Notamacropus eugenii: one gene and its partner. The protein of the gene in region 2 interacts with the protein of the main gene of each other region in a pairwise test. Links are inferred from orthologs where the notes say so. Each region holds a gene or a part of one and is shown on either strand. Other genes may lie near its edges.

The links.
Region 1: the proteins of TNNI3 (region 2) and TNNC2 interact in binary tests that used the Homo sapiens proteins (3 or more experiments, as listed by UniProt). The two-hybrid records come from large-scale screens. The link is inferred for Notamacropus eugenii from reciprocal best matches to the Homo sapiens genes TNNI3 and TNNC2.

Annotation. Positions count from the first base shown.
Region 1 is NC_092872.1:475,404,899-475,412,787, reverse strand, and holds the start of TNNC2 (troponin C, skeletal muscle), read left to right. Parts: upstream 1-4,718; 5' UTR 4,719-4,943; coding exon 4,944-4,946; intron 4,947-7,067; coding exon 7,068-7,119; intron 7,120-7,231; coding exon 7,232-7,375; intron 7,376-7,458; coding exon 7,459-7,573; intron 7,574-7,889. UniProt on the Homo sapiens protein: Troponin is the central regulatory protein of striated muscle contraction. Tn consists of three components: Tn-I which is the inhibitor of actomyosin ATPase, Tn-T which contains the binding site for tropomyosin and Tn-C.
Region 2 is NC_092876.1:17,804,818-17,812,834, reverse strand, and holds the start of TNNI3 (troponin I, cardiac muscle), read left to right. Parts: upstream 1-4,800; 5' UTR 4,801-4,815; coding exon 4,816-4,857; intron 4,858-4,971; coding exon 4,972-4,984; intron 4,985-5,179; coding exon 5,180-5,316; intron 5,317-5,676; coding exon 5,677-5,718; intron 5,719-5,849; coding exon 5,850-5,981; intron 5,982-6,171; coding exon 6,172-6,261; intron 6,262-8,017. Other genes in the region: DNAAF3 (dynein axonemal assembly factor 3), read left to right, coding at 96-275, 560-685, 1,068-1,190, 1,652-1,772, 2,219-2,333, 2,983-3,057, 3,156-3,825. UniProt on the Homo sapiens protein: Troponin I is the inhibitory subunit of troponin, the thin filament regulatory complex which confers calcium-sensitivity to striated muscle actomyosin ATPase activity.

The DNA of each region.
Region 1 (7,889 bases), on a different chromosome or scaffold from region 2:
TCTACATTATATAGAAGATATATATATATACATATATTATATATCTATCTATAATATCTATCTATTATATAGATGATATATATTTACCCAATAAAAACAAAGACAGCAGGAAAAGAGTCATGTATACTAAAATATTTACAGGCTGAATGAACGAAAACATATTAAATACTTATTAAGTACATATTAATTACTTACTAAGTAGTCAGGCATAAAGTGCCAGAAATACTTTCTATGATACCAAAGAATGAGAAACCAATCAAGCACCTATTGATTGGGGACTGGCTGGATAAATATATTTTAAATATATATTTTTATTTATTCCATTACATATTTCCCAATTAAACATTCATTTAAAAATTTTTTGACTTCCTGACAAAAACATAATTATTTATAAGGTAGAGTTATCTGTCCCTGGAGATTATTAGTATTACTATCTGAACATTAAATTCATGGAACCTTAAATTTTTGGAAAGAAACTTTATCTATTGAAGTATCAGCAAGCTGCCACATAGATCCTGCATTTGTGTCCTGGAATATCTGAATATAAAACATTTCTAATGAGCAGAATTTTTCATTTAAATCTAGGGAGTTGTATTTTACAAATTAAAAAAAAAAGTTTGTCATCCAAAAAAACTGAGTTCCAAACTCTTTCCCCACTACGCACTCTTTCCCTACCCCTTGAGAAGGCAAACAATATGATGTCAATTATACATGTGAAGTTGTACAAAACATATTTACATATTTGGCTGAATAAAAAGGGCATACTAATGTAAGGGAATTTTACTCTACCAGGAGAAATGATGTATGTGAAGAATTCAGAGAAACTTCAGAAGACTTGTTACAAAGTGATACTGAGTGACATAAGAAGCAGCAGAACCTTTTATATACTTTTGTAAAGCAAAGAAGGACTTCAGAGATTAAGGCAGTGACCTGTCAGAACTTCAGAGGACTGATGATGAAGCTTTTCTTAACCTGAGAGTTATAGAGGTGTAAAATAAAAGATACGTTTTCCTACATATCCAACATTTTATTTAATGATGTTTAGTTACTTAACTATATTTCTTTGTTACAAGGGAAGGCTCTGTCACAGGGCTGGAATAGATGCAAAAAAGAAAAGACCATCAATGGAATGGGTATAATATCATCTGTGTTGTGAGGATCAGAGTTAATAGATTTTAAGACCCCTTGTAACTCATAAAACATTATTGAAATGTAAAATGTTCAGCTATATTATTCACCTCTCTTCTATCCAAGAACTTACAATGGCCAAATTCAAGCGCTTCTTAATCCATTCTCATCAATTCAACTTTATTTTCCAACTTACTCCTCAAAGGAGCTTTTTTTCCCATCTAGAACAAGCCCAACAATGGGAAGAGGGGCACAAAATTTGAAATCTGGCATACAGAATTGTTTTTTCTCCTCTTTCTTATTTTACCTTTAAAAGGATTTGCTGTCCATTTTTGGGGTGCTAGGACCAGGACCATACGCCAGGGCTGTGAAAGAGAACAGAAACAGGAACCTGAGTGGAAAGACATCCAGAGTACCAGGAACTATCAGCTGTTACAAAACCTTGTGGATTGGGGGGATGGGGGGTGGAAGAAAAACCCATCTCTTTCCTCATGTTTTCCCTGCCTTTCTTATATTCTGAGATCCAGAGGTTGATACTTCAAGGTCCAGAGCTAGAGTTTTAGATACACACACACTTCCTTAGTCCCTCTTCACAATTTGCTGTGGTGTTTGGCTCTGAAATTCCCCTAGCTACAAAGTAGAGAGGGTGGTCAGAAGGAGTGTGAGGAGATAATTGGGCAGAGGGCTCAGCAGGGGCTTCTTAATAATTTTACTTTTATTTTTATTTTCCTTTTATTTTTGCTATGATGAATTAATAGACTGGCCACTATATGTTGATTGTTTATGCCCAGCAAATGTGGGGGGCATTGACTGACTTCAGGTATGGGGTAGAAGAGGGATCAATTGATGGCTTGGTCTTTTAAAATAGGTTGTTGTTTTTTTTAAACCAATATTTCACATTATCTCCTAGATCAGAGGTTCTTAACCTGGGGTTAAAGGACTTAAAATATATATATATATATATATATATACATATATATATATATAAAACTTCATTACGATGGAAATTTTATATATATGTATAAAACTTCATTACGATGGAAATTTGTAGTTGGGGAACTAATTCAGTGCTGCAGACTTGGAGTCAGGAAGACCTGAGTTCAAATGTCACCTCAGATTATGTGACCTTGGGCAAATCACTTAACCTCCGTCTATTTTAGTTTCCTCATCAATAAAATGGAGATAATAATAAAGCCTTCTTCCTAGGATTGTTGTGAGGATCAAATGAACCTTAAGGCACTATGCAAACTGTTATTATTTTGTATATTTAAAAATATTATCCTTAGAAAGGATCTATGGGCTTCACCAGGGGTGGGGAACTAGTGGCTTAGAGGTCACAGAACAATTTGTAAAATTTGGATTCAATCAAAGGGCCACACTTGAGGACCTAGAGGATCACATGTGACTTTGAAGCAGCAGGTTCCCTACTCCTTTCCTAGACACATTCTAGACTATATAAACTTCTGCCATATTGTGGAAGGCATCCATTTAAAAAAAACAAAAAAGGTTAAGAAATCCTCAATAGTGAACCTGACCAATGTCACTAGGGAGAGTAGTTCAGGGGAGGGGTAGTAATCTAAGCTTTTGTAGTCTGAATACTCCTTATGGTCAGTGGGGCAATTGAAACTTTTATGAGTCTCTCCTATATCTGCACTAGAGAGACTACTGAGAAGCTTTGGTTGTTGAGTCAGAGAAAGCACCACCTAGCGGACAATCCAAATACATTGCACACTAGATAATATGTGTAGATGTAGATGTAGATGTATTCTGTAGGCTAAAAGAAGGTAGCATATGAGCTATTTGGGCTCACACTCCTAAAATGTCAGTCTTTATCATGATACATCATTATCATCATCCTCTTCCTCATCATCATGATCATCATCCTCATCAGTATGGTTTTCTTTTAGTCTGAGCTGTGAGCTCCCTAATGAAGATTACACATTCTTATCCCCTATAGCAAGCTGAGCTGGGTTATACTGGGCTGAGCATATACTGGGCTGAGTATACAAGAAATACTTACTGAATGAATAAATGAAGACTGGATGTGAAATCCAGCTCCTTGGGGAGCTAGATGGCACAGTGAGTAAGGCACCAGACCTGGAGTCAGGAAGACTCCTCTTCTTGAGTTCAGATCTGACCTTAGACACTTACTAGCTGTGACCCTGGGCAAGTCACTTTAACCCTGTTTGCCTCAGTTTCCTCATCTGTAAATGAACTAGTGAAAGAAATAGCAAACCTCTCCAGTGTCTGCCAAGAAAACCCCAAATGGAGTCATGAAGACTCAGACAAGACTGAAAGCAACTGAACTATAACAACAAGACTTGGAGTCAGCTGACCTGGGATCTAGTCCTAGCTTGCTGTGGGATGTCCGGCAAGTTGTTTCTATCTGTGGGTCTGTTTCTCCATCTATAAAATGAGGATAATATATATATAAAATACATAATATATACCTGCTTCATATGACTGTTATGAGGGAAGCTCATCCTAAATCAGACAACGTTGTGAGAATACAAAATGAGATGATCATCTTTGTGCCTCAGGACCACTGCCCCTGCCCTTGTGCTTATTCTAAAGATCCCTTCTGGGTCTTGGCTTCCCCAAGGTGTAAATAGTTCCAAACAGGAACTTACCCAGGTCCCTTCCCTCTGCTCCAGCCTGGCTGATGCCTTATTTAGTCTGGCTTGACTGCTCGTGCTTTTCTTGAGAATGTCTATATATAGGGGAAGAAGCCAGTGCCATTTGCCGCTGTCCATCCTGACCTCTCCTTGGCATTTGAATCCCCTGTCTCCCTTCCCCCTATCTCCCCATACCCTCTGCTCAGCTGCTTTCTGGGGCTCTCTTGACCCTCTTCATTCTTCTCTCCATCTGTCCTGTTCCATTCCTGGGTGGGGATCAGGGGTGGGTGGGGACATGTCTCCCAATACTGGAGGCATGCCATTTTCTAGTCTCCTATGCTGGTGTGGGGATAAGCAGGAAATTGTCAGGGCTGCTCTCGGGCTCTCAGGCTAGGGCAGGACTGACTTCTGATACCCACTTAGCACCATGTGTGGTCTGGGAGAAAAGAAGATCTCCCCTTTTAGGGTTTCAATTTTCTCCACTGTAAAATGAAGAGGGTTGGACCAAATGATCTCAAAGTCCCTGCCAGTTCTCACATTCTTTGTTCTGTTCTCTACGGTACTTTCCATTCTGATGTGCTGAAGATTCCTCTTGTCTCTACCATTCTATGATTTTAGAGTCTCACTCCCCAAATGCCTCCTAAAAACTTCCAGATGTCACTAGTGTCCAGAGAAGCCAACAATGTGCTTCCATTCAGGCAAAAGAGAAGGATCCCTTGTGTCTTGTGTCCTTTATCTTCTCTTTCTAGGGCAAAGTTTTTTTTTTTTTTTTGTCATTGCCTTATTCCTCTCTCTAGTCATAGTCAAGTCCTCCTCCCTGCTTGTTATGGCTCAGCTTGGGACAGGTTAAGGGGTCCACTGTCCAGCGTAAAGGCTCCCTGAGAAGAGGGTGGGGCCTCTCCATAAGGGTCTTGGAACATCAAGGCAGGCACCTGCTTGAAGGTTTAAGTTTACCCAGGGCGCCTTGGCTAAATTAGGTAATGGGCTCAGATTTGGGGAGGGGCAGGTGCAGCTGAGCTCTGGGACCTAATTGGATTGGGGAAGGCTGAGGTACACGGATGTCCAATCCCAGGGAGTGGGGGAGGGAGGAAAAGCAAGAGCCCCTACAAATATTGGGGACTGGGGTGGTAGGGAGCCTTTGGGTGTGGAGTACAGAGGAGTTGGAACTGATTGCAGCAGGGGATCTCGTGAGCAGTCACCATGGTAAGTGGCTTCCCTTCCCCATTCCCTCATCCTCAGATCTTTACCCTCTCCCAGAAATTCTGAGAGGAGAACTGAGCTTCATCTCCCTCTCCCTGGACCTTGGGAAAACATGTCCCCAAAAGAAGCTAGGAAGCCTAGGTGACCAGAGGCCACTGACTCAGATGAAAGGCAATATGGGGTAGAGGAGAACACAGATTTAGAATATGGGCACAAATTTTAACTCAGCCATCAACTTACTATGCCTTCCCTCCCACCCACCCCCCAACCCCAGCTGTCACCTCTCCTTCAACCCAAGTCATTTAACCTCTTTCTTCAACTGCAAAATGAGAAGACTGTCTTTTTAAGGCGCTTTCTAGTTCTTAGTCCTATGTATTAGTGAAGTTGTAAGGAATACAGCCATCCAGAGACAAAAAGCAATTTCCCCAAAGTGTCCGCAACTCTCACTTACCCTTCCCAATAGAGAAGCAGTATAGTGTGGGAATTGGAACTGAGGGACATAGGTTCAACTGCCAGCTTTGGTATTTACAATGTGAACAATCTTGGTCAAGTAATGGAGTCTCTCTGGGCTTCAGTTTTCTCACCTGTAAAATGGGAGCATTGGACCATAGGACTCTCAGTTCCTTTCCCTTTCTAAACTCATGATTCTTTCTCTGGAAGTTTTCTTGGAATGAGAGGCTAGTGTCATCTTGGTCTCCTTTGACCACAGAGAAGAGAAGCTCCTGGGGATTTAGGACTCAGAGCATCTGCCTTCTTCTGCCTTTTGGGGCACCAGCCAGCATGTGATCTCTCTGGCCCAATTGCCTCCCTCTAGCTTTTACTATTTTTGTTCAAGGAATCCCAAAGACTTAGGGTCATTTTACAACTGAGTATTGAGGGTAGGGATGTGCCAAGGAAAAAGAAGAAGGAGTCAGAGACAGAGGGGCTCCCCTGGCCCTTGGGCAGGGGCTCTGGGGCATGAAAGGGCATAGCTTGTGGTAAAGAGTGAAGGATACCAGACTTAGATGAAGGGAACTGGGATCAAATTTCATCACTTCTTGTTCCTGTTGTATGTCAGTTTCCTCCTAATCTACAAAATGGGGGACTCAGGTATTGGGCTTAGTTGGTCTTTAAGCTCTAAATTCTAAGTTCAGCTCTAAATTCTACAGGCCTTTGAGGGAGGAGGCATTCTTTAGTCTTCAATACTCCACCCCCAGCCCCTAACCCCCCCAGCCCCTCCCCTCCTTGTCCTCCTAGTCCTTCTTTGAGGAGTAATTGGAGCCTGGGCCCAGCTGTTCCTACAGCCTCAGCCTAAGAATAGCCAAGGCCTGGGTGGGACATGGCAGGGGGAGGGGTCCTATGATCCCTCATGCTCAAACCTGTGGAGATTCTGGATTTAGGCCTCAAATTCCTTTATCAAATAATAGGAATAAATCCATTCATTCCTGGAGTTGGAAGGGGCTTTGGAGATCACCTCCTCCATACCCTTAATTTTTATTGATGGAGAAACTGAGGCTGTGCTGGAACTTGCCCTCAGGTCTGCAGACTCCTAACCTGAGATTTTTTCCAGTAGATTACACCAGCTCACAGCGTAGGACATGCAATTACCCTCATTCAGCAAAGAATTGTCTGAGGTTCATTGAGGTTAAGCATGTTACCCCTTTATACTCCATAAAGCTAGTATGGGGTAATGGATGTTGTACTGAAGTCAAATTCTAGGGTTCAAATTCTAGCTCTTCCATATACTTACCTATGACTTTGGGCAGATGCTACCAAACCCAGAAGACTTTGAGTAGAGACTATCTGATGTCCAAGGACTAGGTCTAACTCCTAAGTAAGAAGAAATTTGTCATCAAAAGATTGGTCACCAGATGGTGATTTGGGGGCTCAGAAACTCATAGGGTCAGAGTTCAGATCTAGAAGGAACCTTAGAGACTATCTAGCCCAATCTCCTCATTTTACTGATAGGAAAATAAGGACCCGGAAATGTGAATGACCTACTTTAGGTTACATGAGTAGTAAGTTAGGGATGTAAATACAGGTTCAGCAGGGATCTCTTAACTTTCCCAAGCCTAACCCTGGGAGTTCCCCTTTACCTTTCTTCTTCCCTGGGACCTGGTACCTGACTTCTCTTGTATCTTGCAGACGGACCAGCAGGCGGAAGCCCGGTCCTTCCTCAGCGAGGAAATGATTGCTGGTGAGTGTGTATTTTGAGAGGTGGACACTTGGCTGGGAGTGGGACTTATGGCTGTGCCAGTCCTCCAGGTTAACAGATTCTTTTGTTATTGCTCCACCATCTTCCCTCTCAGAGTTCAAAGCTGCCTTCGACATGTTTGATGCTGATGGTGGTGGAGACATCAGCACCAAGGAATTGGGCACAGTGATGCGGATGCTAGGCCAGACACCCACCAAAGAGGAGCTGGATGCCATCATAGAGGAGGTGGATGAAGATGGTGAGCGGGCATCTCCCAGGAGGTGTGAAGAGCAGGTGACTGCATTTGGGCAGGGCCTCTGACACTCACTCTCTCAATCGCAGGCAGTGGTACCATCGACTTTGAAGAGTTCTTGGTCATGATGGTGAGACAGATGAAGGAGGACGCGAAAGGAAAGACTGAGGAGGAGCTGGCTGAGTGTTTCCGTATCTTTGACAGGTTAGGCCTGGTGCCCACTGGGGCCATGTTTCCCTGGGAAGGTGTTAGTGAAGGGAGGGGAGTGGAGATGTGCCATACCAGGCGGCTTAGAGTTCAGACTCAGCCCGAGTGGACTGGGGAAGGTATGTGTGAGGAAGGGGCGAGGGGGGGTGGGGAGAAGAAAGGGCTGGAGAAGAAGTAAAGTAAGGCTGGCTGGGCTGAAGTAGGAAGAGGGGGCTGAGTAGCCCTGGGTCCCAGACCTTGGAGGATGTGAACCAAAGGATCTTTAAGGACCCTTTCAGCACTGGAATCTGGTTCATTGCAACGTGCACATCAC
Region 2 (8,017 bases):
CACTTCTTACCCTCTTTTTTGGTCTCTGGGTCTCTGCCTCCTGAACCAATTTGCCATCCATCCCTAGTCCAGTCTCCCTCTCTTTCTGCTCTCAGTTCCGGGAGCGGGACTCCCTGGAGGCCGTGTTCGCCTTCTGGGCAGCCTCGGAGGCCGAAGCCTCCTTCCCTCTGAGCCGCTTGTGGGACTCTCGGCTCCGAGGCTACCTGGGCTCCCGCTACGACGCCCGGCTCGGAGTCAGCGACTGGGACTTGCATATGAAGCTGCATGACCGAGGGGTGAGAGCTTCTGGACTCCAGGGTCCTTGGGAGGTTTGTGGGAAGACGAGAACTACCATTCCCAGCAGGCAGCAGGGGAATGTCATTGGAAGGCCGCCTAAGCTTCCCCAGGAGCTTTCTGGGAAATGTAGTTTTAGGTGCCTTCGCATTGGGACATCTGGCAGTTTTAGCGTGGAGATTGAGAGGCTGGTCTCCTGGCTTCCCAAAGAGGCGGGGAGATCAAGGGGGTGGGGAGGATTCCTGAGTCCTTGAACCTCTCCTCCCTTCCTTTCTTTGCCTCTCAGGCCCGGGTCATCAACAGCCGAGAGTTTCGTCGCTGGAGGGAAACCAGTGTGGCCTTTGAGATTCGGGATACTTCGGCCTATCAACTCCCAAACCGAACCCTGGCATCTGGGCGCCTGATGAGTCATGTGCGTACTCTAGGCCCGCTTCCCATCTCCAGCCCTGGGCGACCCAGACTTCATTCCCAAATTCTCATCCCAAGGCGTCCCAGTCGCCCCTGTCCCCTCCAGCCCTTGGTGACCCAGGAGTCTTGAGCCTCACCCACCATCTCAGGAGATCTGAAAGTTCTGGTCTCCACTCACTGTCTCAGGGGTCCGAGGGAGTTCTGGTCCTCCCTCCCAGTCCTTTATTTCAGGGGAGCTGGGCCTCCAGTTTTCCAGCTCTTTGTCCTCAGGGTCTCAGTAGTTCACGTTCCAAGCTTCTGACATCAGAAGAAACAATGCTCCTACCTCAGTCTCCTTGTGGATCCAGACATCCAAAAGTTGAGCAATATCTCTCCTCCAACCTCAGCGTGGGGAGCGTGTGGCTGTGCGAGGCTACTGGGGGGACGTGGCTACCGGACCTTTCGTGGCCTTTGGCATCGAGTCCGATGATCAGAGTGTCCTGCAAACCCGAAATGGAATCCCTGTTAAGGTGCCCACCCGGGCCCCACCTCCAGGGCTTCTCCCCCTTTTTTTTGTCGGTCCTCTGGGCAGACCTACGGGCCTTCTTCTTTAGAGAGGGTGGTCCGGCTCTCTGGCTCTTGCTTTGTCTCTTCTTCTCTTCTCTTGTGTCCCTGTCTTTCCCTCTCTGAGTGGTTCTTTCTCATAGGCTCAGAATCTCTGGTTCCATCCCCCTCTGCGTCTTTGTCCCTCCCCCTGTCAGTGACTCCGAGTCTCTGGCTTTCCCTCTCTAGTTTTGTCTTTGTGATTCTCTCTCGGGATCAGGGTCTATATCTCTTCATCTTCCATCGGAAGACTTCGGCCTCTTCCCCATCTACATCTCCTCTCCGAGTCTTCAGCTTCTCTGGTTGCCCCAACCCCTAGTAGCTCCACTCCAGGGCTCCGCCCATTTCTCTAGGCTCCTCCCACATTTTCTGCCCGTTGCTCCCACAGTGCGCTGGTGAGATCTCCTTGCACAATGTGACCTCGATGTTTCGAAGCCTAGTGACCCCCGGGGATGAGGTGTCTGAGGCCAAACCTGAGGCCAAGGCGGAGGGCGGGGCCCCAGACTCCGGTGAGAAGTGACAGGAGGCCCCCAAACTTTCCTCCTTCCGAGTACCAGAGATTCCTTTTAGTCTCCTTCCTTTTCCTCTTTAGGGCTCTTAGAAGCCATCTGGATTCCCAGAGGGGAAACTGAGGCCAAGAGGAGGGATAGGATACGTGGAGGGTCAGGGGCAAGACCTGGACTAGGGGGAGGGAAGATCAGAGTCCTGATTAGGGGTTTTCCCGAGTCTTTCTCATCCCAGATTGGAGGATGGGGAGGGCCTTGTGAGTCTGTATGCGTGTTCATGGTGTGTACATATGTGTAACGGGACAGGGCAGGACAAGTTGTGGGAAGGTTCAAAGAAAAGGGAGGTGTACTGTCCCGGCACCATCCTCTTCTTCCTCTACTTTCTCCTCCTCCCCCTTCTTCCTGGCACTGAGTGCCTGTCATTCTCTTCTGGTCTCCTTCGGGTTCAGAACCTGCTGGTTCCAGACCTTTCCGGGTCCACTTCCTGCCCCTGGGGGCTGCCCCGACGTTGCACCAGCGAAATCGCTTCCACAGCCGCTTCCACCTTCTCTACGTGTCCTGCGGGTAACTGAGGGCTGGTTCCCCACTCCCCTAGCCCATGCGGCCTTAGGGATCCTGTAGTCAGTCTTAAGGCCCTAAGCCCTTTCTCTTTCTCTTCCTTCGGGGACTCAGGCATCCAGAACTGCCAACCCCATTCCCCTTTCCCTTCCAGAACTCCAGCAGTCTTGATCCCCTAAACCTCACTCCAGTAAACCGAGTGCTGATCTCCAATCCTCTCCTCCCTCGGACCCAGGTGTCCTGATTCTTCCAGCCCTCTCCTCCTCTTTCAGATATTCAGGTGTTCTGAGCCCCCTAATTTTCTGTTCAGGGACTTAGGTGTCCTGATTACTTACCCCCTTCTCTATGGAGCATTACGATATCCCGATTCCCAATCCCTCCTCTCTCAGAGACCCAGGAACACAGATTCCCAGCTCTCTTCTCTAGGAACCAGGGGTGGGGAGGACAGACAGACATCCTGATTGTTCCAGTCCCTCCTCCTTCAGGGACATAGAAGCACTGATCCCCTTGCCCTCTCCTCCCTCGGGGACCCAGGATCACTGATCACCCCTATCCTCTCTTCCCTCGGGGAACCTGGGAGCACTTTCTCCAGCCCTCTTCTCCCAGGGGTTGAGGACCCAGGCGTCCTGATTCGTCCTTTTCCATCTTTCTGAAGGATGGTCCACCAGCTGAGCCCGGAGCTTGGGGCCTGCGTGGCTCCTGGGGGACGCCTGATAGTGGAATTGGCCAGGTGGGCGCTGTCCTCATGCCCAGGGTGCTGAGTTGGGGGGGGGGGCGGTCTGGGTGTCCTGGATCCTGGTTCCCTGACTGTCTCCCATCTATCCTCAGGTACCTTGTGGACTTGCGGTCTAACCAGCTAGAGAGTTTCTCTGAACGGGTCCGGGAGCTGGCTGAGGCTGCTGGTTTCCTACCAGAGTCCCACGAGGATCTCCCCGAAACCTTTGCCCGCTTCTCTCGCAAGCCTCCACCAGGCCAGGATGATCCGCCTCCCCAGGGTGCCCGGGATGCAAGGCAGAACGCCGAAGCCCCGCCCCTTGATAACTTAACTCCTCCCTCAGAGATTTTGACTTTGCCTCCTAAGGCCTCTGAACCTATGTCCTCAGAAATTCTGAGCCCGTCCTCAAATGAGGATGCTCCTGTGCCCACCTCGCCTCCTAGAGGCGCTGAGCCTATCCTTTCTGAAATTCTGAGCCCGTCCTCAAGTGCAGATGTTCCTGGAGCTCTGACTCTGCCCCCCGAGGATTCGGAGCACGCTCCCTATGGCATTCTTGGACCAACCATTAGCCCTGATGTAGCTGAAATGTCGAGTCCGCACCTTGACCCCATGACTCCGCCCTCCGAGAGTCTGAGCTGGCGTACGGATGCTGAGCTAGGCCCTCCTGGAATTCTGACTCCGCCCCCTGGGGATTCCGACTCCGCCCTCTCTGACTTTCTGAGCCCTGCCCCGAATCCTGATGATTCTGGAATGCCCGCTGGGGAGCCAGGTCACCCCTCTTAAGATTCTGACTCCACCTTCTCATTTCCGAGCCCCTCCCCTAACAATTCTGGGTTTGGCTCCAAGTCCTGAGGCTCACGGGATCTTGACTTCATCGCCCAATTCTGACTGAGAGTCCTTGGTCCCCAAATTCTCCCTTGCCCGTTCCCCACACTGTCCACGACTATCTTGGCCCCAGGATTTTGATTCCGCTCCCCTGGCATTCTGAGACTCATAGGATTTTGACCTCTTAGAGTCCCTTGTCCTTCCCAGGGAGTCAGGACTTGTTAGAATAAAGAGATTTGGACCCTACAATCAGTCTGTGGTCTGGGAGGGAGTGTGGCACATCGCCATCGCCTTAAGGAAGGAGGATAGGTCTCAGGACTCCTGGATCCCTAAGAAAAATGGGTCTGGGGCTCACTCCGTCTGGGTCCCTGAGAGAAAAATGGGCTATATAACTAGCATGCTGACTGAATAGGGTTCCAAAGACTGAATAGGTTGGGGCTCAAGGTTCCTTGGTCCAGGAGAGAGGAGGGGCTGGAAAATCAAGACCCTTGCGCCCCCAAGCTAGAAGGGACTGGGGACTGGGAAATCTAGGCCCCGAAGAGGAAGGCTCTAAGGAATGAGAATCCCTGGGTGCCAGAGACGAGCTAAGATAGGCCTCAAGGTTCGTTAGGGAGGAGGAAACAGGACGAGAATGTTCTGAGTCGCCAAAAGAGAGGGGTCCCATGATGAGGACCTCTGATTCCCTGAGGAAGGAGGGGCTGACGTATCAGGATTCTTGGCTTCGTATGGAGGTGGGACCTGAGAGAGGGAGCATCTCCCTCCCTCTCCGCGCCCCCTTATCTCCCCAGCCGAGAGTATATTTAGCCTCAGGCTCAGCTTTTATCCCAGTGTCCCCAGAGGAGCCAGAGGAGATTAGAGGCTAACGGACCCCAGCCCCCCCAAGGTCATCCCGGATACTCGTCCAGTGCCCTTACATCATGGCGGAGGAGTGAGTGTGGTCTCGGTGGCATGGACGCTTGGGTCCCTGGAGGGGCGGGTATCAAGACCAAGGTCTCTGTGTGGGAATAAATTTGTACTGATTTGTCCTAGAACTGAGGGGGAGGGAGGAGGCAAGGGTGGATGCCCACCACCAGTGCAGTAACACCACCTCCCTTCTCTCTGCAGGAGCAGCGACACGGTAAGAGAAGGGAGAGAAGGGAAGGGGGCCTCGGAGCTGGGGAACAGGGACTCCTGGATCCCTGAAGAGGGAGCAGGATGGGACGAGGACACCGGGGTCCTCGAGGATGTGGGGTGGAGGCTTGGAGGCCTGGGCTTCCCCTGGGCGGAGGGTGGGGCCCTGAGGTTTCTAGAAGAGACCACTCTTTGGGTGTAGGGCCTCGGAGCCCAGCTAACCCGGGTCTCCTTCAGTTCCCGGCTGAGTTGCCACCTGCACCCACCCCAGCGGCACCCCCAGTTCGACGCCGCTCTTCTGTCAATTACCGAGCCTATGCCACCGAGCCCCATGCCAAGGTGAGAATCCGGGACCTGAGTGCGGGGATGAGCTTTGGTGGTGGTGGTGGTCGGGGGGATGACCTAGGCCCTTCGGGGGCCCCTTGAAGTCCGCCCTCCCCGGGCCAGTGCTGTCGGGGCAATGGAACACCGCCGCTGGGTTTCTGGCCCCTACCCCAGAACGCTAGCCTCACCCTGTAGGCTTATGGCCCCGCCCCCAGAGCAATAGCCCCACCCTTTGGGTTTCTGGCCCGGTCCCTAATTCTAACTGCATCCCGGGGATTCTGTTTTTCCCTCTTCCCTCCCCACCCCTGAATTCCAGCCCCCCAAATTTCGGTTCCTCTCCTTCCACATTCTGACCCCAGTATTTCCCTCCCGCAGAAAAAGTCCAAGATCTCGGCTTCTCGGAAGCTGCAGCTGAAGGTGAGGAACTGGGCCTGAGAGGGAGCGGTCCGTCAGTCACTCAAGCAACGCGTGGGAAGTGCCCTGAGCGGGAGAGCTGGGCCAGGGCAGTGGCTTCACTCGCCTCCAGCCTGGCTCTCCTTCCTTCCCAGACCCTGATGCTGCAGATCGCCAAGCAGGAGTTGGAGCGTGAGGGGGACGATCGGAGTGGGGAGAAGGGCCGCGTGCTCGGGGAGCGCTGTGCTCCTGTGCAGTTGGCCGGCCTCGGGGTGGCCGAGCTGCAGGTATTAGGACACGCGGGGCTCCTAGCTCCCCTCCTCGCCTCTGTTAGGGACCCAGGAGTCCTGTCCCCCAAAACCTTCCTTAGAGATCCTGGTGTCCATCTCAATCCTATCCCCCCCTCCCAGGGTGCCTGGCATTAGGCCTCCAGTAGATACACTGTAGGGAAACAGGCATCCTTCCCTCTTCCCTCAGGAGCTGTGTCGGGAGCTTCATGCCAGAGTGGACAAGGTGGATGAAGAGAGATATGATTTGGAGGCAAAAGTTACAAAGAATGTCACTGAGGTAGGGAACAAAGGGGGCAGGCTGATCACCTGTGAGCACCTGGCCTGGGGTCAGGGGCTGGAGACTCAGCCAAAAGAGGGCACCTAGAGGACTTGGGGTCCATGTCCCTGGGGTTACAGAGGAAGGCAAGAGACCCACCTCTCTTAGTGAGACCAACCCCTGCTCCTTAGTCACTCAGAACCAGGAATCTGTTTGATGTCCTAGAGGGTCAAAGTGAAAGGCATGCTTAAAGATCCCTCTTTCTGAGTCCCAGTGAGGGAAGTGACCTGCCCATGGAGACTGGAGACCAGACGTATCCAGATCTCTAGCCTACTAGCCCTGGTTTCTTTCTAGCCCCCCAACTCCATACCAAGCAAAGCCAATCCCCTGAAGAAGGACTTCTAGGGGTCAACCTGGGAACCTTCCTCCTGCCTTCTCATCACCAGCCTCCACAGGGGAGAAGACCTAAGAGTGAGGGGCCCCTGAGCCTTGCATCTCCTGCTGGGCACAGAACACCCCTGAAGGGAGGTAGCAAGGGGCATGAGCAGGGCCAGGAATATGCCATTTCCTGCTCCAGCTCAGTTTCCCAACAAAGAGAAGCAACCCTCCCCTCTGTTCCAGGCTTCCCATCTCTTGCTGTGCCTATCCTTCGAGGGTGAAGTGGTGCTCTCCATTTAGTGATGGCCATTCTCACACCTGGTCATGCCCTTCACATCCCAGTGACTCTCAGCTCCTGAGATCATGACCCAAATCTTCTCCCTGCCCCCAACCTGATTTCCCCATGCCTATCTCCCCACCCCAATGTTCCAACCTAATCCCACCTGGCCCTTCCACTGTGCCCTCTGGGAGGCATGTTCCATAGGCAACAACCCTCACTTCATCTTGAATCTATTTCTCTCCCACTCCATCCATCTGCTCTTATTGCAACTTGGCTTCCCCTGAAGACACAGCCTCCTTGGCAGTCATTCATTCTCCTAGGCTCACTGGTCGGGGTTCCCCATTGCTGCTTCCAGGTTCTTCCCCTTCCTCCATCACTCAGTAACCTTTCCTCCTCTGAGGTTCATGATATTCACATCTCTCACCTAATCAAAATCCTGGTAGCCGTTGTCTCCCTTTCTTAATGCGTTTGGTACCTGACAACATTTTTCTTCTCCCCAACTCCTGCCCTCATCCTAGGGGATGTAAACATACATCAAACACCCTGACCACTCAGTTCCCTCAACCTACTCACTTCCCAGAAGCTATTCTGCCACCCCACCTCAGCCAGGCACAAACATATGCCTCCACAGTCAAGATTCCAGAAATCCCCTTATCTGACCATAATCTATTGGGTTTTCACCTCTTCCTCTGCCTCCCTTTATATAACTCTGCTCTTCCTCCTCCCTGTGACCTCCACCCCTTGACCCCTAGGTCTTCTCCCAGGCCATCTTCCCTCCCCAGGCCCTCTATCTCTTCTCCCCATTTTAATTCCTTGGTGAGCCAATTCAACACTGTCCTCTTCTCTTAACTGTTAGTCCCCTTATCATTTTGCTATTGTGCCCAAGATTCAATCTTGGATCACTCCCACCATTCACTCCTACATACCCTGCTGATGAGGGTGGAGAGAATCATGTAACTCTTCTGACTAGACCCCCTACAAACTTGACTGGGCCCTCCCTGCTGCCAGGCAATCCTACCATACCTCCCTTATTAACTTACTCTTCCTTTCTGCACAACAGCTCTTCAAAATCTTCTCATCCCTCCTCAAACCTCCCATGGCTCCCCTTGCTCCTGCTCT